7 linked regions of the Oryctolagus cuniculus genome follow. The protein of the gene in region 2 interacts with the protein of the main gene of each other region in a pairwise test. Links are inferred from orthologs where the notes say so. Each region holds a gene or a part of one and is shown on either strand. Other genes may lie near its edges.

What was found.
Region 1: the proteins of HTT (region 2) and COPB1 interact in binary tests that used the Homo sapiens proteins (3 or more experiments, as listed by UniProt). The link is inferred for Oryctolagus cuniculus from reciprocal best matches to the Homo sapiens genes HTT and COPB1.
Region 3: the proteins of HTT (region 2) and SRRT interact in binary tests that used the Homo sapiens proteins (3 or more experiments, as listed by UniProt). The link is inferred for Oryctolagus cuniculus from reciprocal best matches to the Homo sapiens genes HTT and SRRT.
Region 4: the proteins of HTT (region 2) and KLF11 interact in binary tests that used the Homo sapiens proteins (3 or more experiments, as listed by UniProt). The link is inferred for Oryctolagus cuniculus from reciprocal best matches to the Homo sapiens genes HTT and KLF11.
Region 5: the proteins of HTT (region 2) and NFKB1 interact in binary tests that used the Homo sapiens proteins (3 or more experiments, as listed by UniProt). The link is inferred for Oryctolagus cuniculus from reciprocal best matches to the Homo sapiens genes HTT and NFKB1.
Region 6: the proteins of HTT (region 2) and FTL interact in binary tests that used the Homo sapiens proteins (3 or more experiments, as listed by UniProt). The link is inferred for Oryctolagus cuniculus from reciprocal best matches to the Homo sapiens genes HTT and FTL.
Region 7: the proteins of HTT (region 2) and WDR91 interact in binary tests that used the Homo sapiens proteins (3 or more experiments, as listed by UniProt). The link is inferred for Oryctolagus cuniculus from reciprocal best matches to the Homo sapiens genes HTT and WDR91.

The regions. Positions count from the first base shown.
Region 1 is NC_091432.1:51,724,194-51,728,314, reverse strand, and holds the start of COPB1 (coatomer subunit beta), read right to left. Parts: upstream 2,801-4,121; 5' UTR 2,641-2,800; exon of another isoform or gene 2,605-2,640; intron 1,876-2,604; 5' UTR 1,815-1,875; coding exon 1,724-1,814; intron 1-1,723. UniProt on the Homo sapiens protein: The coatomer is a cytosolic protein complex that binds to dilysine motifs and reversibly associates with Golgi non-clathrin-coated vesicles, which further mediate biosynthetic protein transport from the ER, via the Golgi up to the trans Golgi network.
Region 2 is NC_091433.1:1,890,090-1,893,589, forward strand, and holds part of HTT (huntingtin), read left to right. Parts: intron 1-161; coding exon 162-352; intron 353-1,881; coding exon 1,882-1,996; intron 1,997-2,105; coding exon 2,106-2,319; intron 2,320-2,625; coding exon 2,626-2,731; intron 2,732-3,500.
Region 3 is NC_091450.1:43,017,493-43,020,992, reverse strand, and holds part of SRRT (serrate RNA effector molecule homolog), read right to left. Parts: intron 2,240-3,500; coding exon 2,111-2,239; intron 1,932-2,110; coding exon 1,785-1,931; intron 1,596-1,784; coding exon 1,389-1,595; intron 1,018-1,388; exon of another isoform or gene 1-1,017. UniProt on the Homo sapiens protein: Acts as a mediator between the cap-binding complex (CBC) and the primary microRNAs (miRNAs) processing machinery during cell proliferation.
Region 4 is NC_091433.1:192,211,523-192,214,858, forward strand, and holds part of KLF11 (Krueppel-like factor 11), read right to left. Parts: coding exon 2,644-3,336; intron 1-2,643. UniProt on the Homo sapiens protein: Transcription factor. Activates the epsilon- and gamma-globin gene promoters and, to a much lower degree, the beta-globin gene and represses promoters containing SP1-like binding inhibiting cell growth.
Region 5 is NC_091439.1:62,714,509-62,718,730, reverse strand, and holds the start of NFKB1 (nuclear factor NF-kappa-B p105 subunit), read left to right. Parts: upstream 1-1,422; 5' UTR 1,423-1,557; intron 1,558-4,222.
Region 6 is NC_091449.1:8,287,905-8,291,211, forward strand, and holds FTL (ferritin light chain), read right to left. Parts: upstream 1,808-3,307; 5' UTR 1,707-1,807; coding exon 1,605-1,706; intron 1,469-1,604; coding exon 1,322-1,468; intron 1,003-1,321; coding exon 877-1,002; intron 782-876; coding exon 629-781; 3' UTR 501-628; downstream 1-500.
Region 7 is NC_091434.1:171,032,377-171,036,332, forward strand, and holds the start of WDR91 (WD repeat-containing protein 91), read right to left. Parts: upstream 2,801-3,956; 5' UTR 2,755-2,800; coding exon 2,632-2,754; intron 983-2,631; coding exon 803-982; intron 283-802; coding exon 75-282; intron 1-74.

The sequences.
Region 1 (4,121 bases), on a different chromosome or scaffold from region 2:
CTCTCCCTCTTACTGTCTGTAACTCTACCTCTCAAATAAAATAAAATAAAATAATATAAAATCTTAAAAAAAGGAAAGAAACTGGAAGAAAATTTAAATGTTCAAGATTAGTTATAGCCACTGTTGAGAATTTAAGGATGACACATTTAAGAAAAAATGAAAGTTTATTGCTTGCTTAGCCTGAACATTATGCACTATAAAGTATTTTATGGGGGCTGGTGCTGTGACGCAGTCAGTTGAGCCTCTGCCTGCAGTGCCAGCATCCCATACAGGCATTAGTTTGAGGTCTGGCTGCTCCACTTCCAATCCAGCTCCCTGCTAATGCACCTGGGAAAGCAGTGGAAGATGACCCAAGTGCTTGAGCCCCTGCACCCACATGAGAGACCTAGAAAACTCCTGGCTCCTGGCACAGCCCCAGCCACTGCAGACATTTAGGGAGTGAACCAGTGGATGGAAGATCTCTCTCTCTCCTTCTCTCTCTGAATTTTTACCTTCCAGGTAAAAAAAAATTAAAAAAAAAAAAAAAGTATCTTGGGGCTGGTGCTGTGGTATAGTGGGCAAAGCCTTCTCCTGCAGTGCCAAAATCCATATGGCACCAGTTCTAGTCTCAGCTGCTCCTTTTCTGATCCAGCTCTCTGCTATGGCTTGGGAAAGCAGTAGGTGACGGCCCAAGTGTTTGTGCCCCTATACTTAAGTGGGAGACCCAGAAGAGGGTCTCCAGGCTCCTGGCTCCTGGCTCTGGATTGGCTCAGGCCCTTGTGGCCATCTGGAGAGTGAAACAGCAGATGAAAGACCTTTCTAAGGGGCCGGCGCTGTGGTGCAGCACTTTAAAGCCCTGGCCTGAAGCGACGGCATCCCATATGAGCGCTGGTTCAAGTCCCGGCTGCTCCTCTTCCCATCCAGCTCTCTGCTGTGGCCTGGGAAAGCAGTAGAAGATGGCCCAGGTCCTTGGGCCCCTGCACCCGTGTGGGAGACCTGGAAGAAGCACCTGGCTTCTGGCTTTGGATCAGCGCAGCTCTGGCCGTTGCGGCCATCTGGGGAGTGAACCATCGGATGGAAGTCCTCTCTCTCTCTGCCTCTCCTTTCTCTGTGTAACTCTTATTTTCAAATAAATAAGCTCTGCTCAGAGTTCCAGCTTCCTGCTAAATGGGCACCCTGAGAGACATGGGAGACTCAGACTGAGTTCTAGGATCCCAGCTTCGGCTAGGGAGTGAACCAGAAAGAGAAATCTGTCTGCTTCTCAAATAACTAAAAAAAAAAAAAAAAAAGGAATATTGTTCTTGTTTCCTTCTTGGCAAAAATGCTTTAAAAATAAAAAGTTTAACTTTTTAGGGAAAAACACATTGATTCCAATGTTGAATTTTTTGGTTTTATAAGCTAAGTAATTGGAAGTTAAGCGCAGAAAGGAATTAAGACATTCTAATACACATTCTTAACCTGTTACCTCTAAAGAATTATCAGCTACATTTAAGTGTAATACATGGAACTACACAATTAAGTCTAAGAAGTATCTGATAACTCAGTGACTGCATTTCTTTAGCTTTAGTAAGCATAACTGAAATGTTGTCTTATTTCCAAAAACCAATACTGCAAGTCAAAAGACAATACGTTTTCATCAGAAAAAAAGAATTTAGATAAAACTAAAGCATTCATAATTATAAAGAACCATGCAATGTAAAAATGTAAATATTAATTTCATTCTCAAAATATTATAAGCATTTACCTAGATCATTTTTTAAGCTAATTTCAGATGGTGGTTCTGAATCCATTGGCACGTTAATTAACGTATAGCACACGTTCTCAGCAGCCGTCATGGTTTCCAGTTAATAATCAACCCCAGACAGAAGACTTAAGAATAAACAGATGCCAGAAAATCTAGAAAAATAAATACAGGGACATCATTACAAGTTTAAAAACAAAATCTCACAAACCAGTAAACTACTGTGTTCTTTACTGCTAAAGTCCATTGCATTTGGCTTATGAGTTTTCAAGTACTAAATGGGAAGGACCCATCTATATTGTGTTCACATAAAAACAAATTCTAACCCAAAAAACCCACCCTTGTCAGCCCCGGACTAAGGTATAGCACGTCTGATTCCCCTATTCCTCTCGCTGTCTAGAGTTTGAGAATGTTGTACAGCAGAATTCAGGGTCAAAAACAGTGACAGTCCCCCAGCCCACCCTCAGCGTTACAAAACAGTGATTTTTAATAGAATATACACTCAGAACTGCTCAAATTAAGAAATGTTATGTGACTACTCTGCCAAAACTTTAAAGCGGTTTATCGGGGGCACAAGTCGATGCTGACGGCGTCTGGGGGGTCCCTCAATCGGTGCGCTGCACCCCCACCTCACCCACCCACTTCCCTCTCCCACGCCTCCAGCAAAGCAGGCCCCACCTCAGAGGGTGAGCTCGGAGTCTTGGGAGGCAGAAGACCCCCGATCGGTAACGCGAGCTGAGACGGGGCGTCCGGCCCAGAGCTTCGCGGCCCCCAGCCCCCACCCCGACCCGTTCCCCTTTGCCAGGCCCGAAGCGAGCGGCCTAGTAGCTGCTGCTCGCATCTTTCAGCTAGAGAGCCAGTTCCTCCGACTCTCCCCGGCTCACCAAGCCTCCGCGGTTGGGGGGCTCGAGGTCCGCTACCTGGCTCCGAGGGGCAGCGGCTGGGGTCACCGCGGGACCGTCTATTTGGACTCCAACCCACGGCGGCGGCGGCGGCTCCTCCGAGTCCTTGGCTGACGTGGAAGGGGGTGGGGTGGGGACCGAAGCAGCAGCCACCTAGCACCTACGGCGAGTCGGAGAGGACATGCCTTCTCCGTCCTGCGGTTGCGCGCGGCAAGCGCCTTGTTTTCTTCCTCCCTTCGGGTATATGGTTGGTTTAGGTGACTGAGATGAATGGGAGTAGATATTTATTAAGTTTTCCCTGCAAACCAGGCGCCGAGTTAAGCGCGAAGGTCATTTAAACGCTGCGTGGAAATACTTACTTCTAGGAGCTGAAACAAGGGAAGTTTGTTCTGGAAGGCAAGGGCTTTCCTTGCCTAGGGCTACGCGGTCTGTGTGGAACAGTTCTGCTCCGGGAGCTGGAAGCCCAATTGCTCGCCAAACCAACTGAGGTACTATTTACTATTGGGAAAGTATTTTCAGTTCTTTTAATAAGCGCTACTAGGTTATACCAAGATCCACGCGAATTCGTGGTGTCTGGTAGCTGAATCCGAATCTCAGCAGTAGGGCGGGAATTGCTTTAATAGTCACGCCACGCTGGTGCCGTTTCTGCTGTTTAGTGATGGCTCCTTTTGTGTGGATTGAATTTTTTTTTTTAAGTAAATGGAAACGCAGCCTTAAAGGAGTCTACCTATCTGTAAAGATCTAATTGTTACAGCTACAATCAGCCACCAGCATCTTTGCTTTTGCTCATTTGAGGTGCCATAGATTCCCTCAAACCACTTCCAAACTCCCACCAAAAAGGTTTTATTTGTTATTAATAAAAAAACATTTGGCTTAGCAACATACTGTGCATACAAAGAGATCTGACAGAACCTGCACTTATTAACATGTTCACCTTCCTAGGGATTGAACACAAATAGTACCTCACGCATCTGGAATCCAGTTATTCTGAGTGTTTTCCTTTTTGGTATCATCAAGCAAAAAATAAATCCTATGAACACCCAAAACACATCGAAAGACCATGTGTCACAGCATTTTAAGAGTGCCTTTCTGAGCCTGTGCATTTTCATTCAAATTTTTAAAACCTAGCACATCTTTTAGTGTATTTTTAAGGTTTACTTATTCATTTGAAAGGCAGAGTTAGAGAGAGAAAGAGAGAGAGAGAGAGAGGTCTTTCATCCGCTGGTTCACTCCCCAGATGGCCACAATGGCTGGAGCTGTGCCAACCTGAAGCCAGGAGCCAGGAGCCAGGAGCTTCTTCTGGGTCTCCCACGCGGGTGTAGGGGCCCAAAGACTTGGACCATCTTTTACTGCTTTCCCCGGCAATAGCAGAGACTGGATAGGAAGTGGAGTAGCCGGAACTTGAACCGGCACCCTTATGGGATACTGGTATTGTAGGTGGTGGCTTTACCCACTATGCCACAGCGCTGGCCCCAACACATCTTTTCATAATAAGCATT
Region 2 (3,500 bases):
AGGCAGCGAGGGGCTAACCTTGTCACAGGCCAGCTCTCAGGGCTCTTCTGCATGCTGGACTTCTCTGGACATGAGGGCAGCCTCTTAGCTACAGGGCAGCCGGCCACTGGGCCAGCTGCTCCTGCTCCATCCTGGGCAACCTTGCCTGTGCTTGTTTGCAGGACAAGGCTGTGGCCGAGCCCGTCAGCCGCCTGCTGGAGACCACGCTCAGGAGCGGCCACCTGCCCAGCAGGATCGGAGCCCTGCACGGCGCCCTCTACGTGCTGGAGTGCGACCTCTTGGATGACACGGCGAAGCAGCTCATCCCCGTCATCAGCGACTATCTCCTCTCCAACCTCAAGGGCGTAGCCCAGTAAGTGGGCACCTGACGGGTGGGAGGGAGAAAGAGCTGGCCACAGGGCGGCAGGTAGCAGTGGGAACCCAGGCAGGCGCCCTGCTCCTGGCAACAGTGAGGCCCGGGAGATGTGGGTGCAGATGCTTGCCCGATGGAAGCTCTCGCGAGTGCCCCCGAGGAGGTGGCACTATCTCTGCTTTCCTCCCCCGTGGTGCTCAGCCCGCTCCCACGTGCCGCTGCCCACTCTGTCGGCAAGCACGGCCAAGGCTCAGCCTGCTCTCTGTAGCACCCCTCCCGCACGCCGTGGTGGGGAACGCATTGCTGTGATCCCACCTTGCCGCCTGCTGCCCCGACGGCCCTGAGAAGGCATGGCTGGTTACGGAGCCCTTAGGAAGCAGACGAGCACGTGGCACCCAGCAGAGCCGGCAGCACAGCTTAGCTGTCTTCAAACTCACCGTCATGGGAAGAGTTGAATTTCTGCAGGCAGAGGAGGCCCCTCAGGTGTGGTTCAGGGTGGGCTGCAGCAGGGAGGTGGTACCAGGAACCCATGGCTCCAACCCAGGCAGAGACGGCGTGGCGCTGTAGCAAGGCCCTTCCTACTGGATGGTGAGCCCTGAGCAAGCAGGGTAGGCAGAGAGCTGGCCACCATCCCCGTGTGCCCAGAGATGGGTCTATGGTGGAGTCCTGCTGAGACGTGGGGGTGGGCCTGTCTCTGCCCCATGTGTTGGAGGACACGTTTTTGGTGCAGCCCCTGAGCTGGCATCAGGCCAAGGCAGAGCCACTGGTCATCTGGTGCATGGCCGTTCCTTGGTGCTGTCACTCAGCAGACTTGGAGGGATACAGGGAGTGTCCAGGTAGAGACTGGACAGCGCTGGCCTCAGAGCCAGCATGCGGCCTACATTGTGGCAGCCGTGCGTAAGCAGTGGAGGTGGGTATGCTGTCTGCACGTGTGGCAGAGGTGGTGAGCTAGACTCTTTGTTCACGGTGGCCGTTCGTCCAGTGATAGGCAGGCTAGGTCTTTGTTCATGGTGGTCGTTTGTCCAGTGACAGACAGGCTAGGTCTTTGTACACAGTGGCCGTTTGTCCAGTGACAGACAGGCTAGGTCTTTGTTCACAGTGGCCGTTTGTCCAGTGACAGGCAGGCTAGGTCTTTGTTCACGGTGGCCGTTTGTCCAGTGACAGGCAGGCTAGGCTGTTGCGGAGCAGACAGGTGCCAAGAGGAGACTCCCCAAGTCGGGGTTCAAGGTACCACACAGGAGAGCAGAGGGCACCCTCCAGGCCTCTCTGATGGGCAGAGGTGAAGTGGCCAGTGCTGGGATGAGGCGAGCCAGGCTGAGGGCTTTGCAGCGTGAGGCAGGCAGGCCATGTGGAGTGAGGCCAAGTGCAGAAGCCAGGGCCAGCCGTGCAGGGTGCAGAGTGCTCGAGTGCCGTGTGGCCTTGCCTATGTACCCCCTACCAGGCCAGGTTGAACGGGTCCAGGCCACGGAGGAGCCGGCCCGCGAGGGTGGGGCAGCTGTGTGTGACAGGCCATCTGTGCCCCGTTGCAGCTGCGTGAACATTCACAGCCAGCAGCACGTGCTGGTGATGTGCGCCACTGCCTTCTACCTGATGGAGAACTATCCTCTGGACGTGGGGCCGGAGTTCTCAGCGTCAATCATACAGGCGAGTGGCCCCGGGCCCATCTCTGTCCCTGTCCTCGTGGACAGTGGGGTCAGCTGTGGTTCCCCTGCGGCCGCCCTGCCACTCTGACAGAAGGCTTTCTCTCGTCCAGATGTGTGGAGTGATGCTCTCTGGGAGTGAGGAGGCCACACCCTCCATCATTTACCACTGTGCCCTCCGAGGCCTGGAGCGCCTCCTGCTGTCCGAGCAGCTCTCCCGGCTGGATGCAGAGTCCCTGGTCAAGCTGAGTGTGGACAGAGTGAATGTGCACAGCCCGCATCGGGCTATGGCGGCCTTGGGCCTGATGCTTACCTGCATGTACACAGGTGAGGAGAGGCGGACGCCTGCGCCCGTGCTGCCCTGACCCGGGTGCTGCCCTGACCCGGGTGCGGCCTGACCCGGGTGCTGCCCTGAGGTCAGCCACTGTGCATAGGCAGCAGAGCCACACCTCCGGCCACTGCCTCCCATGCAGCTGAGCCTTGGCCAGGTCCTGGGCCGGCTAAGGGCTTACTTAGGTCACCTCTTTCGGATCATCTCTAGGGGTCTGTTGAACTTCGTATGCAAGGCACCGTCTGTGGAGCCTGTTGGGCTTTATAAATCGTGCAGCTGTGTATTGAATACTTGTGTTTCAGGGAAGGAGAAAATCAGCCCGGGCAGAACCTCGGACGCTAACCCCGCAGCCCCAGACAGCGAGTCAGTGATTGTCGCGATGGAGCGGGTATCCGTTCTCTTCGACAGGTGAGCAGCGAAGCCCGCCGCTGTGGCCGTGAACTGCCTTGGGCTTTGGCCAGAGGAGCATACGCATGCGCATCTGCTTACCTTCCTCCTCATGTCTCTTCACCCTCCGACCAGGGGCTGTCCCGCCAGCAGGCCATCCTGGGACCCCAGCACTGAGTGACTCCACGGTGGCCCTGGGGAGGTCGAGGGCCAGGCCCGTGGGATCGGCCTGTGGCAGGTCGGGGCCTGGAGGCGGGCCCTACTGCAGACGCCTGCTCACCCTTGCTGCCTTTTGTGTGCTCACCGTGCACTGCAGGAGGGACATGCAGCCCCTGAGGGCAGCGTCAGGCAGTGCAGAGGCTGGAGCGAAAGTACCCTCAGGAGTTGCTGCCAGGCCTCCCAGCCTTCCCACTTGTGTGCTCAGAATCCGCACACCTGCCAGTCCTGAGAGCGCCGGGGGCTCGTCAGGCTTTCCCTAGAGCAGCCCGTGTCCTGCCCCGAGTCTCTCCGGGCCCAGTGACGTGGCAGTTTTGTGGCCTGCAGTGAGCAGTTGGTTTGCCGAAGACAGACTGTTCTCAGGCTGGTCTCGGGCATGCGCACAGAAGGGCTCTGCATGAGTCCCTTCTGGGGCCCGAAGAGGTTCTCTGTGTGGCCAAGCACATGCCGGTCTGCTTCTGTGCTGAGCCTGAGGTTCCAGCGAGCCTGCGGTCACTGTGGCCGTCCGTGTGTGTGCAGCCACCCCGTGGAGCACCGTGACCAAGTGAGCGTGATGCAGGCACTCAGAGTGACC
Region 3 (3,500 bases), on a different chromosome or scaffold from region 2:
GCAGGCCCCGAGGAACCTCCCTCTCCTTGCCAACCCCACACTACTGTGGTTCAAAGAGCTGCACCCACCAACTCCCTCCACCCCTAGGTGGAAGACAGAAGGAAACCTCAAGTGCACCAGATAGGAAAAGCCAAAAGGCAGGACAGCTCTCTCCCCCTGGGGAAGATAAGCAAGATGGAGAAGGGACAGGGCAGACCAGCGGGGGAGACTGGTGCGCCCTCAGAGCCACAGGTGCTGCCCACGGGAGAGAGAGGAGGGCCGGAGCACGAGAAATAAAACATTCCCAACAGGACGGGGGACCAGAGAGAGCAGGAGTGGGAAGGAGGAAGAAAGTGTCAGAGATAGGAAACAAAGGCAACGGAAGACAGACAAACGGGGGACAGAAGAGAAGTGAGTGTTAGGCAGGCAGCGAGAACAGGGACAGAGAGGATGAAAGGAAGTGAGAGACTGAGACAAGGACACAGGCGGCCGGGCAGTCAGAGAAAGGGACAGCGGACAGAACAGAAGCACGAGGCCGTGGGAGGAGAGAAAGCCGCAGGCGTCGCCTCCACGATCTTTACCTTGGCTGCTTGGTCAAACAGAGCTCAAGATTTAACTAGCGGTGCCCAGGGCCCATGCTGGCTGGCGGGCACCGGCTGGCTCCTGGCTGGGGCGCCCGGCCCGGATGCCCCCCCTGCGGGACTCCGCGGGGGGGGGCCCTGCCTGACTGGCTGCCTGAGCGATCACATTCAGCTAACGCGCTGCATTGTGCACAGCGGAGCCCTGCCTGTCTGCCTGGCCGGGGCAGCGCGGCTCAGCCCAGGGGCTCATGTATGGGCTGGGTATGGTGGGGGTGGAGGTGGGTTTGCTCCGAGCTCCGACGATGAGCGGGTGTGGTTCCCAGTTCTGGCTCTTTTCAAGGAGGAGGAGCAGAAAGAGGATGAGGAGGAGGAGGAGCAGGAAGGGGGGAAAAGATGGTTGATTAAAATTAAAACATCCACAAAAAAAGGAAAAAAAATAAAATCTTTTTCTCTCAAACGACCCTGAGATCTTTGCTTTTCTCGCTGGATTCACTCGTCGCTTTTGGGAGGACGCCACAGCCACACAGGGTCCTGAGGATCAGGAATGACAACGGCCCGCTACCAGCGAGGGGAAGCAGTCTGTGTGCGGCCCCCAAGGGGCCCGGTGGCTCTGGCCAGCTGCCTGGCGGCGTCCCACTGACCGAGGACAGCGGGGAGGGGAGGGCGGGCGGGGGTGGGCCGCGGCAGTCACCGGAGGAGGAGATCCCACCAGACGCGGTCAGACTCCCCCTCCCCCACCCCCGAGAGTTCGGGACTGGGTGCACGGGGGAGAGGACAGGGCCGGGGGGACATGCCAGGGAGAGGCGGCAGGGAGGCTGGGGCACTGACCACTCCTCGTCTTTGTGGGCCAGGAAGAAGTCCTGCATCTGCTGCCGTCGGAAATCCAGCTTGTAGTCGTTGTAGCGCTTCACGGCCTCCGTCTCGTCCACAGAGTCGTCCAGCGACAGCAGGAACTCCTTGAAGGTCTTCATGACGGGCGGTGGCACACCCAGGTCGATCTCCGCGATGCTGCCCAGCCTGGAGGCCGCCACGAGTCTTGGTTGGGGGGAAGAGGGCGCGGGGCCACGGCAGCCAGCTGCCCCTTTCTCTGCCTACCAGGGACACCACCTCAAGCCCGCCCTGCCCCCAGCCCTCGGGCCCTCTGTGGCCCGACCCTCCCAGGCTCCAGCCACCGACCCCTCCCTGGCTCCCTTCTCCAGGGCACCCAGAACCACTGCTCTTTACCTGGCCTGGATAGGCAGGACGTGGTGCTGCATGATGTGGACGTCCGGGTGGCCCCAGGGCTGAGGGGGGCCGTAAGTTGGGCCCCCACCCCCCCCAGCATAGGGCATCTCATAGCCACTGTGGTATGGGTCAGAGCTGTGCTCATCCCTGAGGACGGGGGACACGGAAGTCAGACAAGGGGCCACCATCCCCCCCGAGCCACAGAGGCAGGCGCACGGGAACAGAAACGGCCGGGGCGAGGGGGACTGCGAAAAGGCAATGGCGCTTTCGGCAGGTGGAAGGCTGCGGAGCCGAGGCCAGGAGAGAGGGGAACGCCATCAGCTCACCAGTCACGTCGCATGCGCTTCTGCGGGGGGCTGAGCTCGTGGCGCGGGGGAGAGAAGCGCTCGCGCCGATTCCGGTCGTAGTCCCGGTACTCGCCCCGACTGCGGCGCTCCCGGCTGCGGTCCCACTCCCTGGGGACGAGAACAAGCGGCCATCATGAAGGAAATGGCGCAGGACGCCAAGACCAGGCTGGACGCCTCAAGTCACACACACCAAAAAAGACTCCCGTCTCCTGCTGCCCACGCGCCAGCTCCCGCCGAGGAGTCCCGGCCCCTTCAACTCACCCAACAGGACCTGACTCCATCCTCATCCCCGCCCATCTCTCCCCCCCTCGCCTGCTGTCCCGGTCACCCAGTCTCTCCCCTCCTTGCCTGCTGTCCCGGTCACCCAGTCTCTCCCCTCCTCGCCCGCTGTCCCGGTCACCCAGTCTCTCCCCTCCTCGCCCGCTGTCCCGGTCACCCAGTCTCTCCCCTCCTCGCCCGCTGTCCCGGTCACCCAGTCTCTCCCCTCCTCGCCCGCTGTCCCGGTCACCCAGTCTCTCCCCACCTCGCCCGCTGTCCCGGTCACCCCGTCTCTCCCCTCCTCGCCCGCTGTCCCGGTCACCCAGTCTCTCCCCACCTCGCCCGCTGTCCCGGTCACCCAGTCTCTCCCCTCCTCGCCCGCTGTCCCGGTCACCCCGTCTCTCCCCACCTCGCCCGCTGTCCCGGTCACCCCGTCTCTCCCCTCCTCGCCCGCTGTCCCGGTCACCCCGTCTCTCCCCTCCTCGCCCGCTGTCCCGGTCACCCGTCTGTCCAACACACCTGATCAAAGCGCTGCCTCCTGTCGTCCCAGCCTCTCCACCCTCACTGCTGCCTCCATCCCCAGCTCAAAAACACTTTCTTCGGACCCAGTGGTTTGCAAACTTTTTGATCTTAAAGACTGCTGACGTCACAGACCTTCTGCCTGTGGCTAGCCATACTTACTGTGTCCAAAAGTAAGTCCAAGTTTTTACAAAAGAAACGATTTCCCTGTACAATTTTATTGAGAAAAGTGGCTCTGGCTTAAGAGGAGTAACTTTGACATCCAATCTGCCGTGATGTTTTGGTTGGAAACCATAGACATCTGGCCTCACAGGGACACTCGGTGGAAACCTGGGTGTTATTTTGGGTTTGTCTGGGAGGGAGTTTCGAGGTGAGATCAGCAAGGGACTCTGGGTGGGCCCGCATCAGCGACTGGCCGGGGTCTGCAGGCTACACACGCCCAGCACACAGGTCTCAGCTCTGGCCATCAGCGCTGGCCTCTGGACTCCAGGCCTCACACCGGCAGCCCCCTCTCTGGCCCTAGGCTTTCCACCGTGAACCGAGAGCTGCACCCTGGCTTCCCCGGTTCAGAGGCCATCAGACCTGGCCCAAG
Region 4 (3,336 bases), about 190 Mb from region 2:
CAGACCCGCACAGAGCCCCGGGCTCCTGGTGTCAGCCTGGACCACTCCGGACTGCTGCCGCCCTTTGGGGAGTGAAGCAGAGGGATGAGCTCTGTCTCTCCCCCTCTCTGTCGCTCAGTCTTGCAAACAAATACATCTTGAAGAGAACAGCCACTGTCAGGACTTCGCTTCTGTCTAACAGAGTCACCAAGACAAGCTACTTCTAAAGGAAGGACTGCTCAGCTCATGGTTTGGAAGTTCACGATGCGAGGGCAGAGAATTCGGACTGATTTTCACTCTCTTAGCAGCACTGACTCCGGGCAGCAAACATGTAACCCGTGGCCTCCGGGACACCTCCAACATCCCACTAATACCCAACACCCTCTCGTGACACGCCTTAAGCATGTCTGTCACTCACTCAAAGTTTCGGAGCATCAGGGACGTACCCCACGTGTGTCCTCCTGGAGGTACGGGGGTGAGCAGAGGGCCTTCCCCACAGAGGCCGGGGGCTCCCCCCCAGCAGAGCTCTCGGGGCCCCTCTGCGCAGCAGGAGCACACCCCTTCTCTCACCAGGCTGGGAAACACACAGTGCACGCGTGACCACTGACTTGTTAAACGCTGTTCTAGGACGCGTCTTCCCTGGATCATGACCGATTCAGCCATCTCCATCTTCACACAGTTAAGCTGTTGGCACAGCACTTTGTCCAGCAGGTGGCACATAAACGGTTTCAATCAACGAGTGAAATCCACAACTCTCAGAGGTGAATTAACAGGAAGACTCGGTACTATGATGAATCAGACAAGCAGCACGGGCTACGAAGGCCCTGTGTGTAAGCACCAGGCTCTGCCAGGGCCTGAGCACGCCGCCCGCAGCTCACACGCCGCAGGCTTAGCCCCCGAGGTCTATGCTAGTGGCATGTGAGAGCTGGGCCTTTAGAAACGACTGCGTCAAGGCCCTGCCCTGACGGATGGACTCCGAGGTTATGGAGGCGGGGGCTTTGACATAAAGGCAGCTGCCTCAGGTGTGACGACACAAGGAAGCCCCCCCCACACAGATCCTAGGCAGATGCCAGCCTCCAGGACTGGGCACTAAATAAACCTCATTCTTGATAAATTACGACAGCAACAGCAGCCAGGAGTGCTGCCCTACTGCCTCGTGGACGCCCTGGGGCTGGACACACCAACAGGCCTCTGGCGCCGGATCTGTGCAGTTCCCTACCTGTCAGCAACACATCAAACACACACCATCCATCCACTCCACTGACCCCAATTTAAACATTTTTCAGACTGGTAGAAATATGTGAAAAGTGATTTTGTCCAGGGTAAACTATTTCTCGAACTCCAACTGTTTACTAAGTGGCACGAGGGTACGTTTCACAACTTCACGGCTATTTCAGCTGGAGTGCTGAGGTTAGCAGGAGAGGAGCCCGTTCTGATCAGATGCTTGATTTGATCAACACCCCAGGGAAGCTGGCTGGAGAAGCCGGGACGCCTCCTTCAGCCCCTGCCTCCACCTGGAATCTGCGCTCTGGTGGGATCTGAAGCCCCTGTGCCGCTGGTGTCAGGGCCACGCGCCCACGAGAGCAGAGCCCCGCCCACCGTGACCAGGCCAGCCACCCCCATCTCACGTAGGACGCAGCCCTCACTGACCAGCATCAGGCCCGAGTGTGAGACACGAGGGATTCACACTCGGGGGACAGAGGACAAGCACACAGCAAGTAAAGAGCAGAGAGACAGACAGCAGCCTACGAGGGTCAGGGACCGGAGGAAGAGAGCGACACTCTGAGAACTGGTTCTGGCGGCCCTGGGAGGGCTCCCAGACAGTGAGGCGGCCGCACAGCGAGGAGGGCCCTGGCGGCCCGTCTTCTTCAATGGGCCAGGACCAGGGCCTGGGCCTCACGCACGGCCGCCGGCAGTACAGGGAAACAGCACGTTCCTTCCCACCTCCCTCCTGTGGAACCTCTGACCTGTCACGGTGACACCGTGGAGTGAGCAGACTGCTCAACTGTAGGGTCCTTTAAAGCCACGCAACACAACGCAACTCACAGGCAGGCCGCCCTAAACCTCGCCCTCCACCCCTGCTCCTCTGCCTGCAGCACGCAGGCCTCCGCCCATCAGCGTCCCGGACACAACCCCGAGGCGCTGTTCAAATGTAAACTTCAAAGAATGGCAAAGCCCAGCTCAGTTCCCCAACACTAGCCCGGGCTCCAGCGCCTGCGGCCAGTGGCCACTCCCTGGACGGCCGGCCGAGAGGGTGTTTCTACACACAGCTGTCTGCACAATAAAGCCAGCAATCCCCAGATCTTTAAGAGTGGCTGAGATTTCTCCCTTCTAAATTGAACACTTCCTCCTCAAAAGAACGAACTATTTGTCTAGAACATCGCCGAGTTCGACGTCTACAGTCTGGACAGAGCCTGCCCACCAGCCACCCAACAGGCATTTCAGTGAGCGCCACCGTGCATGTCCTAGCACGCAAAGCAGCATGGGTGTTTCCTGCAACACGGAAGTGGGCACCGCGACCCCCCGGAGGGCTATGGGAGGCCCACCATGCAGACGCCCGTGCCCTCGCCCCGCTCTGCAGGAAAACCGGACGGCTGTGCCGAGACCGCGGGCGTTTCGGGACCTCAGGAAAAGAGCTCAGGGCGCCCCCCCGCCCGGGCGTACCTGTGTGAGTGCGCAGATGAGCCTTGAGGTGGGAACTTTTGAAGTAGGTCTTCCGGCAGCCTGGGAAGTTGCACACGTAGTTCCTCCTTCGAGAAAAGTCTACCTGAGGGGCGCAGTTTTGGCTGGAGGTGATGAACACTGGGGCGGGCGCGAGAGGCAGCAGCTTGGTGCTGCCGACAGCCACGACGCTGGACGTGCAGGAGGCGGGCTGGGGCAGGGCGCCCGGGGGCAGGACCAGCATCACGGCTCCCTGAGGCACGGGCGGGCCCACGAACACGGGCGGGGGCGCGGGGGCCGCCTGGGGGAGGATGGGCTTGACAGTCCCCGAAGACAACTGCGGGGCGGGGTTCAGAAAAGCTGAGAACGTGCCACTCGGTCCCGTCACAGGGACCATCTGGCAAAGGACAGGGGGGCTGGGGACAGAGACGGCAACCACAGGCGTGGCTTTCCGTGGCAAGTCATTTTCCGGATTCTTTGGTGAGCACCCTGCCTGCTGGCCTCCGCCGGTGGCCAGGGAGCCACCGGACTTGTGCAAGCGAGGCTCGCAGGACGCCGAGGTAGGGCTGAGCGGAGTGCCGGCGAGGCCGGGGTCTTGCAAAGCCTCCAAATGTCCCAGAGGCTGTGCCCCTCCTTGTCTCCTGTGGGAAAGCTGCTGTTCTCGGGCGTGCGCGGCGCAGTGCGCAGGGGCAGGGC
Region 5 (4,222 bases), on a different chromosome or scaffold from region 2:
ACAGAAGACCACTGGGGTCTCCCACATGGGTGGCAGGGACCCAAATACTTGGGTCATCTTCTGCTGCTTTCCCAGGTGCATTAGCAAAGAGCTGGATTGGTAGTGGAGCAGTGGGGCTCAAACAGGTGCTCATATGGGATGCTGCCCCCCCTCAGAGTTCTTTCTTGGGGTGCTAACCTACCATAGTGTCTCCCCAGCCCGTGCTTAGCGCAGTGTCAGGTGCGGGCAGCAGCTCAAATCCAGGAATGGTGGTCAAGGGGAGGCCCGTCTGCAGGGGCCAGTAGCAGTCTACCCAGCAAAAAAGTAAAGAAGGAAAGAAGGAAGGAAGAAAGGTAAAAAGAAAAACTCCTTTCTGCCAAATCAAGATTTCCCTATGACCCGTGAACCAAAACCATCGCTGCCACCCTCACTCTCATTCTATCCACGGTAATCATCAAAAGGCCCGACCGTAGCTCTGGGTGGAAGCTGTGAATAACTGGCGCAAAACCAGGAGATTAAAGACCTCGCCAACGCCCAGAAGATGTTCCTACTGCATTGGACCTAAGTCAGTTATGCTATCGGAATTCCAGTTTACTCTGTGAGGAGATTCGGGTGTAACCGAGACGGACTTAAATGGAACATACAGATGAGATTTATTTTTGTAGCTGGCAGGCTTGGATGCATGCCGACCCCTCATCGCCGCCAGCTGCTCGGGCCTGCCTTTCAGGACTCCGGACCGCCCGCTCCCACAGCCGCCGCCTGCTTGCCCGGACAATTCGGGCCCGCAGGCGCTTCCTGGGGACGTCCCCGCTCGCCCCCAGCCCTCCAGGCTGCGAGAGCGCCGGGCCAGCAGCAAGAGCCCTGCAGGCCACCCGAGCGTCCAAGGCCGCCTGAGCGCGCTCCGCGTCTCTACGCTGCCGCCAGGGGCGGGAGCCGAGCCGCCCCGCCAGGCCGGACCGGGGGCGCGGGGCGCCTCCACAAGTGCGGGCTTTCCCCACCCCCGGCGGCGACCCCACCTCCCGCCCCCGCGGCGTGCGCGCCTGTGTCCGTCTGTCGGTCTTCTCTCTCGACGTCAGTGGGAATTTCCAGCCAGGAAGTGAGAGAGTGAGCGAGAGAGCAAGAGAGAGAAGTGCACCAGCGAGCCGGGCAGGAAGAGGAGGTTTCGCCACCGGAGCGGCCCGGCGACGCGCTGACAGCTTCCCCTGCCTTTCCCGTCGGTCGGGCCTCCAGCCGCCGCCACCGCCACCGCCGCCCTTGGCCTGAACGCCGCCTGCCTCCCCGTGCCCACAGACCGGCGCAGCCCAGGCCGGAGCCGCCGGGCCAGGAAGGCGGTGCAGCGCCGCCCGGCTGCCGAGCGCCCCGCGCTTGCCTCCGCCCGCGCTGCGGACATGGCGCGGCGCTGACGGGCCCGGCCCGGTCCGACCGCGCGCCTGCTCCCGCGCTCCGACCCGCACCCGGGCCCGCTCGGGCGCCGGCTCCAGCCGGCTGCTGCCTCTTCCTTCGCCAGCGCGCAGGCCCGCGCCGCCCCGGAGGGCAGCCCCTAGGCGCCGGGAGGCCGCGCGCGGACCCGCCACCAGGGTAAGCCAAACTCGGGCAAGTGGGGGCCTCGCTGGGGACTGGGGGCCGCGTCCCGCCGCCCACCCGGCCCGCAGCCCCGGTACGCCCCCTTGGCCTTCCTCATTCCTGCGCTAACCGCTGGGCCAGACCGTGGGAGGAGGTTGACAGTAGTTGAGAGGCACATGGGCTTTGGCGACTGGGGGGAAGGCACATCCGGACTGCGCGGGGCTGTGCGGCCGAAGGGCCGCGGCCGCCGGAACCCTCCAGTCTCCTGAGCCCCGCTGCCCGGCGAGCACGGGTACCAGAAGCGACTCTTGGAAACTTTTTTTTTAATCCACACCCCTTGTCTCTGTCTGGGGGTGTCTGGAGGTTTGGGGTACGCTGCGGCGCGGAGGAGATCGGGGAAGGTGGTTGGTGCAGTGCAGAACCAGATTTCACCTAAGGGCGTTCCATGAAATGAAAGCAGAAGTGCTTGTCAGTTCTCTAGGTTGGAAAAGCCCTCCCCAGCTTCCCAGAATTAAACAGGAGAGCCTATTCCTCCCTATTGGACTTCTGAAAGAGAGAAGCCCTCGCTTCCCACAAGTGCCCGGCGTGTGTACATACATACGCACACTCACACACACAGCGACAGGGCCTAATCTGTTCACCTGCTGTTGGACCTGCGCATTAGTTTTCAAAAAATGGGGGCCTGGTACTCATCCTCCAGGGCCTGGCGTTAGAGAAAGATGAGAAATCACACTTAGAGCACTTTTCACTGGATTATGTAAAGCTCTGGACAGTGGCATCGTGCATTGTGCCTAACCTCGAAAACCAAACTCATGATATAAACCAAGACTATTCTAAAGATAAGTTTTCTTATGAGCTTTTAAAATAGACTCTGATGGACGTGTTTAATTTGGCCTATCCTGCAACTTAACTGGTACTTAATGATTTAGGATTTAGTTATCAAGACTGAGGACAATTTCTGATCTTTTAACTAGAGGTTTTCAGCATTGCAGCTTATGAAATAACATTGTTTAACTCCAAGGTTTTCTTATAAAGCTTATAATCTGAGAAAAATGTTATGGTATTGCTAAAATATTTAATAGTTCTAGCATCAGAATGTTTTTCTACAAACTGAAGATCTTTGGTAAATACTAATACTTGAAAACAAAATTATCAATAATTATTTTTCTAGCAGGATTCCTCAACTGAATATTCTTGAATAGTTTTAACTGTATTAGTGTGTGCTGGAACTTTAAGAAGGAAACTTAATTAAAATAAAACCCTTAGCTGAAGTATGTTGTTTTCTTGATTTTAATATTGTGCTTTCTAGAGATGAATCCTTCTATTGTTTTATGTACTAAAGAAATTAGGTAAATAAAGTGAAATGCTTTTTGAGCTGATGAGCTCAGGAAGATAGGAAATCAAAAGAGGTGTGTTTCTTTTGGCATTTTACATTTATCATGGAATTGAATTCCTAAAATGAAGGGTGTGTATATGTGTATGAAATGGAAACAGGAAATCTCATAAAACTGTTCATCCATATTGATATACCTGCAACTCCTCAATGCCTTCCTTCACTTGTTTAGGTAAAATGTCTTCTTGGGCAGCCTAGTAGGCCAACTTGAACACAGAAGACTCATTGTATGTAGGTTTTAATGCTGGAAATTAACTGCTGCTTGTTGTGGAAAGTGTACCACTTTTAAACTACTTGAAGAACATATTTAAGAAAACAGTATAATCCTATTAGGAGTTGGTGGTGATTTGCAAATCTGTTATCCTAGTTTTGAAATTGCAGTTTTATCTTCTGTGCTACAGTTGGCCCTCACGTGGGCTGAGTAGATGCTCCTGTTTTTCAAACTCAGTAAAATGAGGAGTATACCCATAAAAATGGTCTTGTTCCCCTTTGTGAGCACTCCTTTGATCTTTGCACTTCCTTTTACTCCTACCACTTAAACAATATCATTTGTGATGACTGAGTTGGAGTTGGTTAAAGCTCAGTTATTCTGAAATAGGCAGGTTTATAGATCTACTGATCATAGTCCTTGCATTTCTCTTATCATTGTTCCTTGAAACAAATTGAAACTAGATTGAGTAACTAATATTTATGCAGGTTGTTTTTGCTACTGTTTTTAGAGTTCCAGGTAGTGGATGAAGTAAGTTACTGCCCTGACTTTGAGGGATTGCCCATTGTGTTAGATAGGAAATTTAGATAAACAGTTGGCAGCTTACATGGATCTTGGACAATGATTCAATCAGCAAACCCTTATTTTTACCTAATTGAAGTGAGATATTCCCCTGTTCAGAAGAGGCGAAAGTTCTGGCTTCTGGGGGGAAGTGGTTACTTCCTAACCTTCAATTAGTTTGAACTCAAAGAGTAGAAAAGTAGTTCACAGTTTAAAACCATAAGTTAAAGTAATTCTATCTGTGTTGTTATACAGATTTTTGATGAGTGCTCAAAATATCTTACCTTCAGAACATACTAGTAGATGTGCTTTTCAAGGAGGTGACTGCTGTAGGAAGTTAGATCTGCAAGAGTCGAGAGAGCAGTTTAACAGTGAGTAAATATTCAAATTACGCTCTTCTGTCTACAGATTGAGCAGGATTCACATTCATATGGGCACATATGAATCAACAGCTGTGCAAATTTCTCCTTGATTTGTCTTTTAGTGGGACGGTTGTTTTGTATAGGTGGTTAATTGGC
Region 6 (3,307 bases), on a different chromosome or scaffold from region 2:
CTTCCTCTGCTCCCGCAAAGGGAACAGGGGTCAGAGCTGACCCAGCAGACGCTTCTAGAAACCCGCGTAAGCTGCTTCAGTTCCCCTTTGGAGACTCTGGGCCCGGGTCGCACGTCTGGTTCCTGTGCTGAACCCCAACAGCATCACGCGCCCCTGCTCCTCCTGACCTGTCTTCTCGGTACGTGCCCTGCACCGGAGTTACCCCGGCGCGGGCGCAAGGAGCAGCAGCCTTGGCCGGCCGCTCTGGGCTGCCCGTGGTGAAGGGTCACTCATTGTTTACCTGCCTTTCAGAGCTTGGCCCGCTGCCTGACCCCATCACCGCCCAGGCTGCTGAGGCCGAACAGGGCCTTGCTGCCAGCCCTCCCTGAACCTGGCCCGACCCGCTGGGCAGGGCAGTTAACGGCCAGCCGGCCTGGCGGACCTCTCCCCTGCCAGCCCACTCCGTGGAGCCCTGAAGGTCCGTTCCGCCGCCTCCACCGTAATGCACACCACAACCCCATGCTGCAGCAAGAAACTTTATTTCCGTTTGGTCCCAGGTTTGGGAGAGGGTTCAGGGCTGTGAACAAGCTGCCTGGCGGCTGGCAGGAGAGCGCGGGCAGACGCGCGGCGCCGCTGGCTCCGGGCGCCCCTAGTCGTGCTTGAGCGTGAGCCTCTCGAAGAGATACTCGCCCAGCGAGGCCTGGGGGCCGCTCAGGCGGCGGATGTTGGTCAGGTGGTCGCCCATCTTCTTCAGGAGCTTCACCTCCTCGTCCAGGAAGTGGTTCTCCAGGAAGTCACAGAGCTGACGGAGAGAAGGGGAGATCAGACGGCGCACGGAGGAGGAAGGCTCACAAGGGAAATCAGCCCAATCAAAGGCGCGGTGGCGGGGGCACTTACGTGAGGGTCCGTGTGGGCGGATCCCAAGGCATGAAGGTCCAGGAGCGCCTGGTTCAGGTTCTTCTCCAGGGCCAAGGCGGCTTCCATGGCGTTGAGGGTCTTGCCCCACTCATCCTGGGACGGCTTCTGCACAAAGGACGAGGGGCTCAGCACTGGGCCCAAACTCCACTTTCCCAGCAGCCGTCGGGGGCCGGGGACGCTCAAAAGAGGTGGGCGGGCTTGTACTTACTACCCCCACCCTCCTACAAGAGTCGCCTCAGGAGACCACGCAGCGGCCCGGACCGCGGGGCCCTCAGGGTTCACCTCCTTTTCCAACCTTAACGACTCGCTCACGACTGAACTCAATCTCCCAGAAGGCCGCGCGACACCCAGCCGGCGCTCGGGCTCCGGTCTCGGCGCGCGCAGCCCGCCGGGAGATGTAGTCCGCGGGCCGCACACCAGGTACCTGCACGTCCTGGAAGAGGGCGCGGCCTCCGCGCTGGTTTTGCATCTTCAGGAGCCGCTCGGCGGCCTCGCGCTTCTCCTCCGCCAACTCGCGGAAGAAGTGGCTCACGCCCTCCAGAGCCACATCGTCGCGGTCGAAATAGAAGCCCTGCGGGAAGACGCGAAAGGAAAACCGTTGGCGGGAGGCGTGCGGGCTCCGCCCCCGGCGCCGCCGCGGGACAAAGCGGGCCCGCGCACGCGCAGTTGTGTGCAACTCGGGTCGGGGGCGTCCCGCGGACCCTCACCAGAGAGAGGTAGGTGTAGGAGGCCCGCAGATGCAGATTGACCAGGTGGTTGACGGCAGCCTCCACCTCGGGGGAGTAATTCTGACGGATCTGGGAGGTCATGGTTGGCGGCGGTGAGATGACCACAGAACCGCGGTGGGCTGGTCCCAGGAGCAGGAGGTGGCCGAGAGGTGGTCCCGGAGCTTCTGACTGGAGAGGAGGTCGGAGGGCGGTCGAAGCCTGTGAGAGAGTCCCCGGGCCTGTTCCGTTCAAACACTGTTGAAGCAAGACACAGGTCCGCGGGTCTCCCGACGCGTAGCTTCGGGCGGCTGCTTGGGCGGCGGCTTTTATACTCTGCTGGCCCTCGGGGGCGGGGCTCGGAGGGCGAGGGCTCGGCCAATTGGCGTTTGGGGGAGGCAGGGCCTCCGGGCGGCTTCTGACCAATCAGGCGCAGAAAGGGGGTCTCCGTCCCCACCCTGAGGTGGGGAAGTCACGCGCCTGTTGCGCGAGCCTGTTGTGAAATGGAGAATGGGGGTGGGGGTTCTGTGGCTGGTTCGGGGAAGTCGAGGGCTTCTGAGGGTCTCTCCGGGAGGTGAGAGGTTGGTGGGTGCCCGGGGAGCCCCTGGGGAGTGATGACCCTGTGGTCCTGGGGCTACCTCAGGAAAGCAGGGGTCTGTGGCCGTTTCTGAGAGCATGGAACTTTCTGGAACCCGGGGGGGGGGGGTCGTGCCTCAGAGCGCGGAGAGGACCTGCAGGCTGCCAGGGGTTTGTGCTGTGAGCTGAGGGGTCTCCCCGAGCAGGAGGGCTGTGGAGGGCTGTGGAGGTGGCTGTAAGCGAGCCCTGCGGATCTCTGGGAGGAGGGGGCTCCTGCCCTGAGGCCTGGGGGTTAGGAGGAGGTGGGGACACCATGGGCATCCACATTTAAGTCCTCCCCGGGAGGCCTTTAGGCGCTCCAGGTGGTCATTGATGCTGGGGCGTGTGGAGCCTGGGGTCGAAGTGGCGGGGAGGGGTCCTGGAAGTCTATTGGGGCGCGGGGGGAAGGGACGATTGTAAGAGGGGCCCGGCCCCTTAAGGCGCACAGAAGCCTGGGCTCCTCGGATGCCTTGGAGTCCGTCGGCGCCCAGCGTTCCTGGGAAGTGAGATGGGGAGAGTGAAACCCCCCGGGTGCTGGGGTCTCCCTGGGGTTGCGTTTCCTGGGGGGGCTGTTATGGCGGTAACCCAGAGACTTGGGGTCTCCCGTGGCCCCGGAGCAGTCTCTCTACAGAGGCCCCGTGTCTGGCCTGCCACCTGCTGCTTCTGCGTGTCCAGGAGACGCCTTGGGCGGCCGAGGGACAGAGGTCGGGGACACAGGGGCGGGGTGCCTGTCTCCCCGGAACGTGCATTTTTTTTAAACGCACCAGATGCATGTGGGTCTGGGAGTCAGGGGCTCAAACCAGCGCCCTGACCTCGGGGGAGGAGGAGCCAAGGCAGGACCTGGACCCCACTTAAGTGGCCCCTGGAGGCAGGCCTGGGGAGCCGAGGCCCCAGGCGCGGGGTGCAGGGTCAGGACCTGGGCGCTACAGCTCCTGGCCAAGGCGACCCCCAGGTGCTGGGCCCAAGCAGTATCTGGGGCCCTCGGCCTAGGCGGGTGACCAGGCCGGGATGTGCTGAGTCATGCTGACTCCGCGGGGGGAGGGGAAGGGGCAGTGGCCAGCGTCGGCCTTGGAGCTGCTGACTGCTTAAGA
Region 7 (3,956 bases), on a different chromosome or scaffold from region 2:
GGGGCAGCGGCTACTGGTCACGGCGTCTGGGAGCCCCAGACCGGGCCCATGGCCGCAGGCAACAGGAAGGATATGCATGCACTCAAACAGGACACTCAGGAAGTTGTGCAGGGACACGATGAAGGTGTCCGCCCACTGTCGGGAGAAGTAGGTAGCAAAGGTGGGGTTGGTGTCCGGCGACGGCAGGAAGGGCAGGACAAACCAATCCTTCCACTCGGCCTGGTTCTGGAGCTCCGTGGCCTGCTTTGCAAAGAACTCCTGGGCCTTGTCGTTTCTGTTTGTCTGCAAGACACAGAGGAGGGGGAAGATGGAGATGCGGGTGAGCTTCCTCACCCCTGCCGAGCAGACGGCCTGTGCGTGTCAGCCTCCCAGGTAAGTGGCCCACGAGGACCTGTCCACTCCACATTGGAAAGCAGCCATCGCCCCTTTTCTCGAGGGCCTTGTCACTGCAAAGCTGGTTTCATGTGCAGCTCAAGAACAAATGCCATCCTGAAAACGAGTCCCTGAGGTTCTACAAAAACCCGACTGCCCGATTCTCCGATCATCTGTACTGCTTATTACAGAAACCTCAGGCCAGCAACTTCATATTCTTTCCAACATCTTAAATAGGAAGGAAAACAGAAATGGGGAAGTCAGATGATCCAGAGGAGAAGGAAAAAACCAGCACGAAATAACGTGACTGTCCCGCTCCTTCACAGGAAGGCACACAGCCCTCCCCAGGGGCGAGACCAAGCCCTATCTGTGGGTCAAGACCAAGCCCTATCTCCGCCAAAGGCGGCAGAGCCCCTGGAGCACCAAGCACCTGGATTGTGTAGACGAGATAGAAGCGGAACAGGCTGGTCTTGAGCTTGTTGATGGTGGGTCTGTACACGTCCTCCAAGCGGCTGAAGAGCCGCCGCTCCAGGTAGCTCCAGTAATCCCGCAGGGCGGCCAGGTCGTACACCTGCATTAGCTGCTGCAGCTGGTCCACTATCTTGTCCACCTGGTGAGAGCGGAGGGGTGGGGAGGGTGAGGACAGGAGGCAAAGCCCCCCTCATTCCACAGGGCACAGCGTTTTCCCCACTGCCATAGCTTCGGGATGTGAGCAGTTTTAAGTTAGGGGCTGGAGCTGGGCGGTGCAGCAGGTTAACATCCAACGTCCCATATCCAGGCACCGTTTCAAGTGCACGCTGTTCCACTTCCAATCCAGCTCTCCACTAATACGCCCAAGAAAGCAACAGCGGATGGCTCAGATACCCGGACCCCTGTCACCCACACCGGGGCCCCGGCTGGAGTTCCAGGCTCCCGATTTTGGCCTGACCCAACCCTGGCCGTTGCAGCCATGTGGTAAGTCAGAGGATGGAAGATCCCTTTCTCTGTCACCCTGCCTATCAAATAAATACATCTTCTCCTAAAGAAAAAATAAAAGTTTTTAACTTGCCATTTAAATCTGACAATTTATACAAATTTTAAGTTAGCAGTCTATGAAGTTTTTAAGACATAACTGTACCACCTTTTAAGTTACGGCTCGAATCTTAGGCAGGCACAGAAATTTCAGGTGTTATGGGCTTTGGCCAGAGAAGCAGGAGATTTGGCTCCAGGTCCTGGATCTGCCTCTGACTTACATGACTAAGTTGGCACTGTCACTTCAACTGCTTCCTGGGTTGCTTCACATTGAAAATAATAAACGTGTAAGAGCACATGAGATGGTCCTCCTTCTAGCTCCACAGTTCCAGGACTCCAAGGGGCAACGGGAGGCACGCTGATGGACCCCCGCCAGTCATCAGCGACCCACCAGCGCCCTCATAGCTGCGCAGACTATCAGCCAAACGAGCCACCTCCTTGTGAGGAGCAGTTATACCCGAGTAGGTGATTTGAAAAGGTTCTGGCTATCAACACTTTAGTCCCCATAGATTACAGACTGGGGCACGGGAGCCCAGAGAGGCGAAATCCTGTTTCAGGAGCCTCTAACTTCGTCCAAACAAGAACCCCGACTTCCCAACTCCCCTCCAGGGAGGCCCCTTGCTGGAGTTCACTGTCTCAATTCACCTGCCAACACCCGCTGAAGTCGACACACAAACCACACACACGTGGATTCCAAGAACTTCCCCACGGAAATCCATACCGGAGCCCCGAAAGTTTGTTTTAGCACGTGCAATGAGGTCTTCCTCCAGTGCTTAGTTGCAATATTGCCAGTGAGCTAACAAGGGCACTTGAGACCGACATCACCGGTGTCTGAACCCAGCTAACGTTCTGGGCTGCACACACCCCTGCTGCGCTCCCACTGCCTCGGGAAAACAACCCTGGGATAGATACGTCGGCCGCCAGAACCTCCCAGCCACCCAACCCTGGTTGCTGAAACCACATGGGTCTCCCCAGCCATCGACTGACCAGCACCTGCTAGGAGGCCGGGGAGCAACACCCAGACCTGCACCAGCGGTCAGGCCACAGCCCCCGACTGCAGGACAACTTCAGGCGAGTCACGCCCGTGTCAGGGCCTCGGTTCCCCGTCCGCCAGGCCAGGGCCGCGCGCGCCGATCTCCGCGGCCCCCACGCCGCCGGTGACAGCGCCGCCCCCGCCCCTGAGGGCAGTGGGGGCTGGGGAGCGGGCTGCTCCCGGGCTCCCTCGGGCCGCCCCCGCAGGCCCCTCACCCGAAACCCCTTCTCTTTGTCCGCCTTGATCTCGGCGTCCAGCTGCCGCAGGGTGTGCGTAAAGCCGCGGAAGAGCAGATACTCGCGGACCAGCTCGTCGGTGCGCTCCACCGCCTCCGCCATCACTGCGCCGGCGCCTAGAGGGGCCGCGGCCGCGAGGGACGAAGGGGCGGGGCCTGGCGGGGGCGGGGCGGAGACGGGGGGCGGGCGCCAACACGTCACTCCGCGGCCAGCCTACCAGCGCACACGCACCGCGCGCCTCGCGCCCTGAAGCCCTGCCCCTCGGTCGGCGCCCCGCCCCGGCCCCGCCCCGCCGTGTCGTCATGCCGCGGCCGCCCGGAGGGGCTGCTGGCGGAGGCTCTGCGGGCGCTAGTTTTCCTGGCGGCGGCATTACAGCTCCGAGTTCCTCAGAACGGCAGCAGCTGTTCAGTCTGGAGAACGTAGCACACGGCCGCGAGGCAGGCGGGGAGTGGGTGCCCGGCTGATCGCAGACCCCTGTGACTCCCACCTCTCCTTTTAAAAATGGAGGGATCGCAGGTGTGCGGTCGGGGGGCTCCCGTTCCCCGCAAAGCCCTGCCCACACGGCAGGGTCGCCACGACGCCTGGCGACGACGGAAAACCCGAGTTACGATGAGGTGGTGCCTGTGCCTCGTTAATTAAAACAAAAAGGCAGACGGCTGTGAGAAACAGCCTCACCCGTCCACTCCAAGGATGGCCCCGGACCAGAAGCGCAGCGCAGCGCAGCGCAGCGGGCAAGCCAGACTTCGCTAAGCGCCCTGCAGACCCGGGGGCTTTGCAGCGAGCTATTTATTCCCCCAGCACGCAGGTCCGGCCTCCAGGTCCCCATTGGCTGAGTGAGTGCGGGGCTCACCCGCTTCAGCTGTTTTGGCCACTAACACCCTGTTTGCCTAAGAACTGTCAGGTGCGTGGACCCGGGCCGTTCTGCAAACTGTGACAAGTCGACTGCTTGTCGACTCACAGCTAAAGGCTTCACTTTGAAAATGAGCCGAATGTTTACTTCTCACAAAGATAAAATGTGTGTGTGCATGTGTGTGTGTGCGTTTGCACATTTTGAAAACCCAGGAAGATTACACGCCGACTGTTTATATTTGCTTTCTCTGTGAGGTGAGACCAGAAGGGACTTTCACTTCCTATTTTTCACTTTTTCTCAATTGTTTGAAGTTTTCACAGGTGTCCATATTTTTGTAATCTGGACGACAACCAATATGTACGAGCTGATGGGAGATCTCTCTGTTTCCTTCTGTCTCTAAATCTGCCTTTCAAATAAATAAATTGTCAAATAAATAAATTAAAAAAAAAAAAAA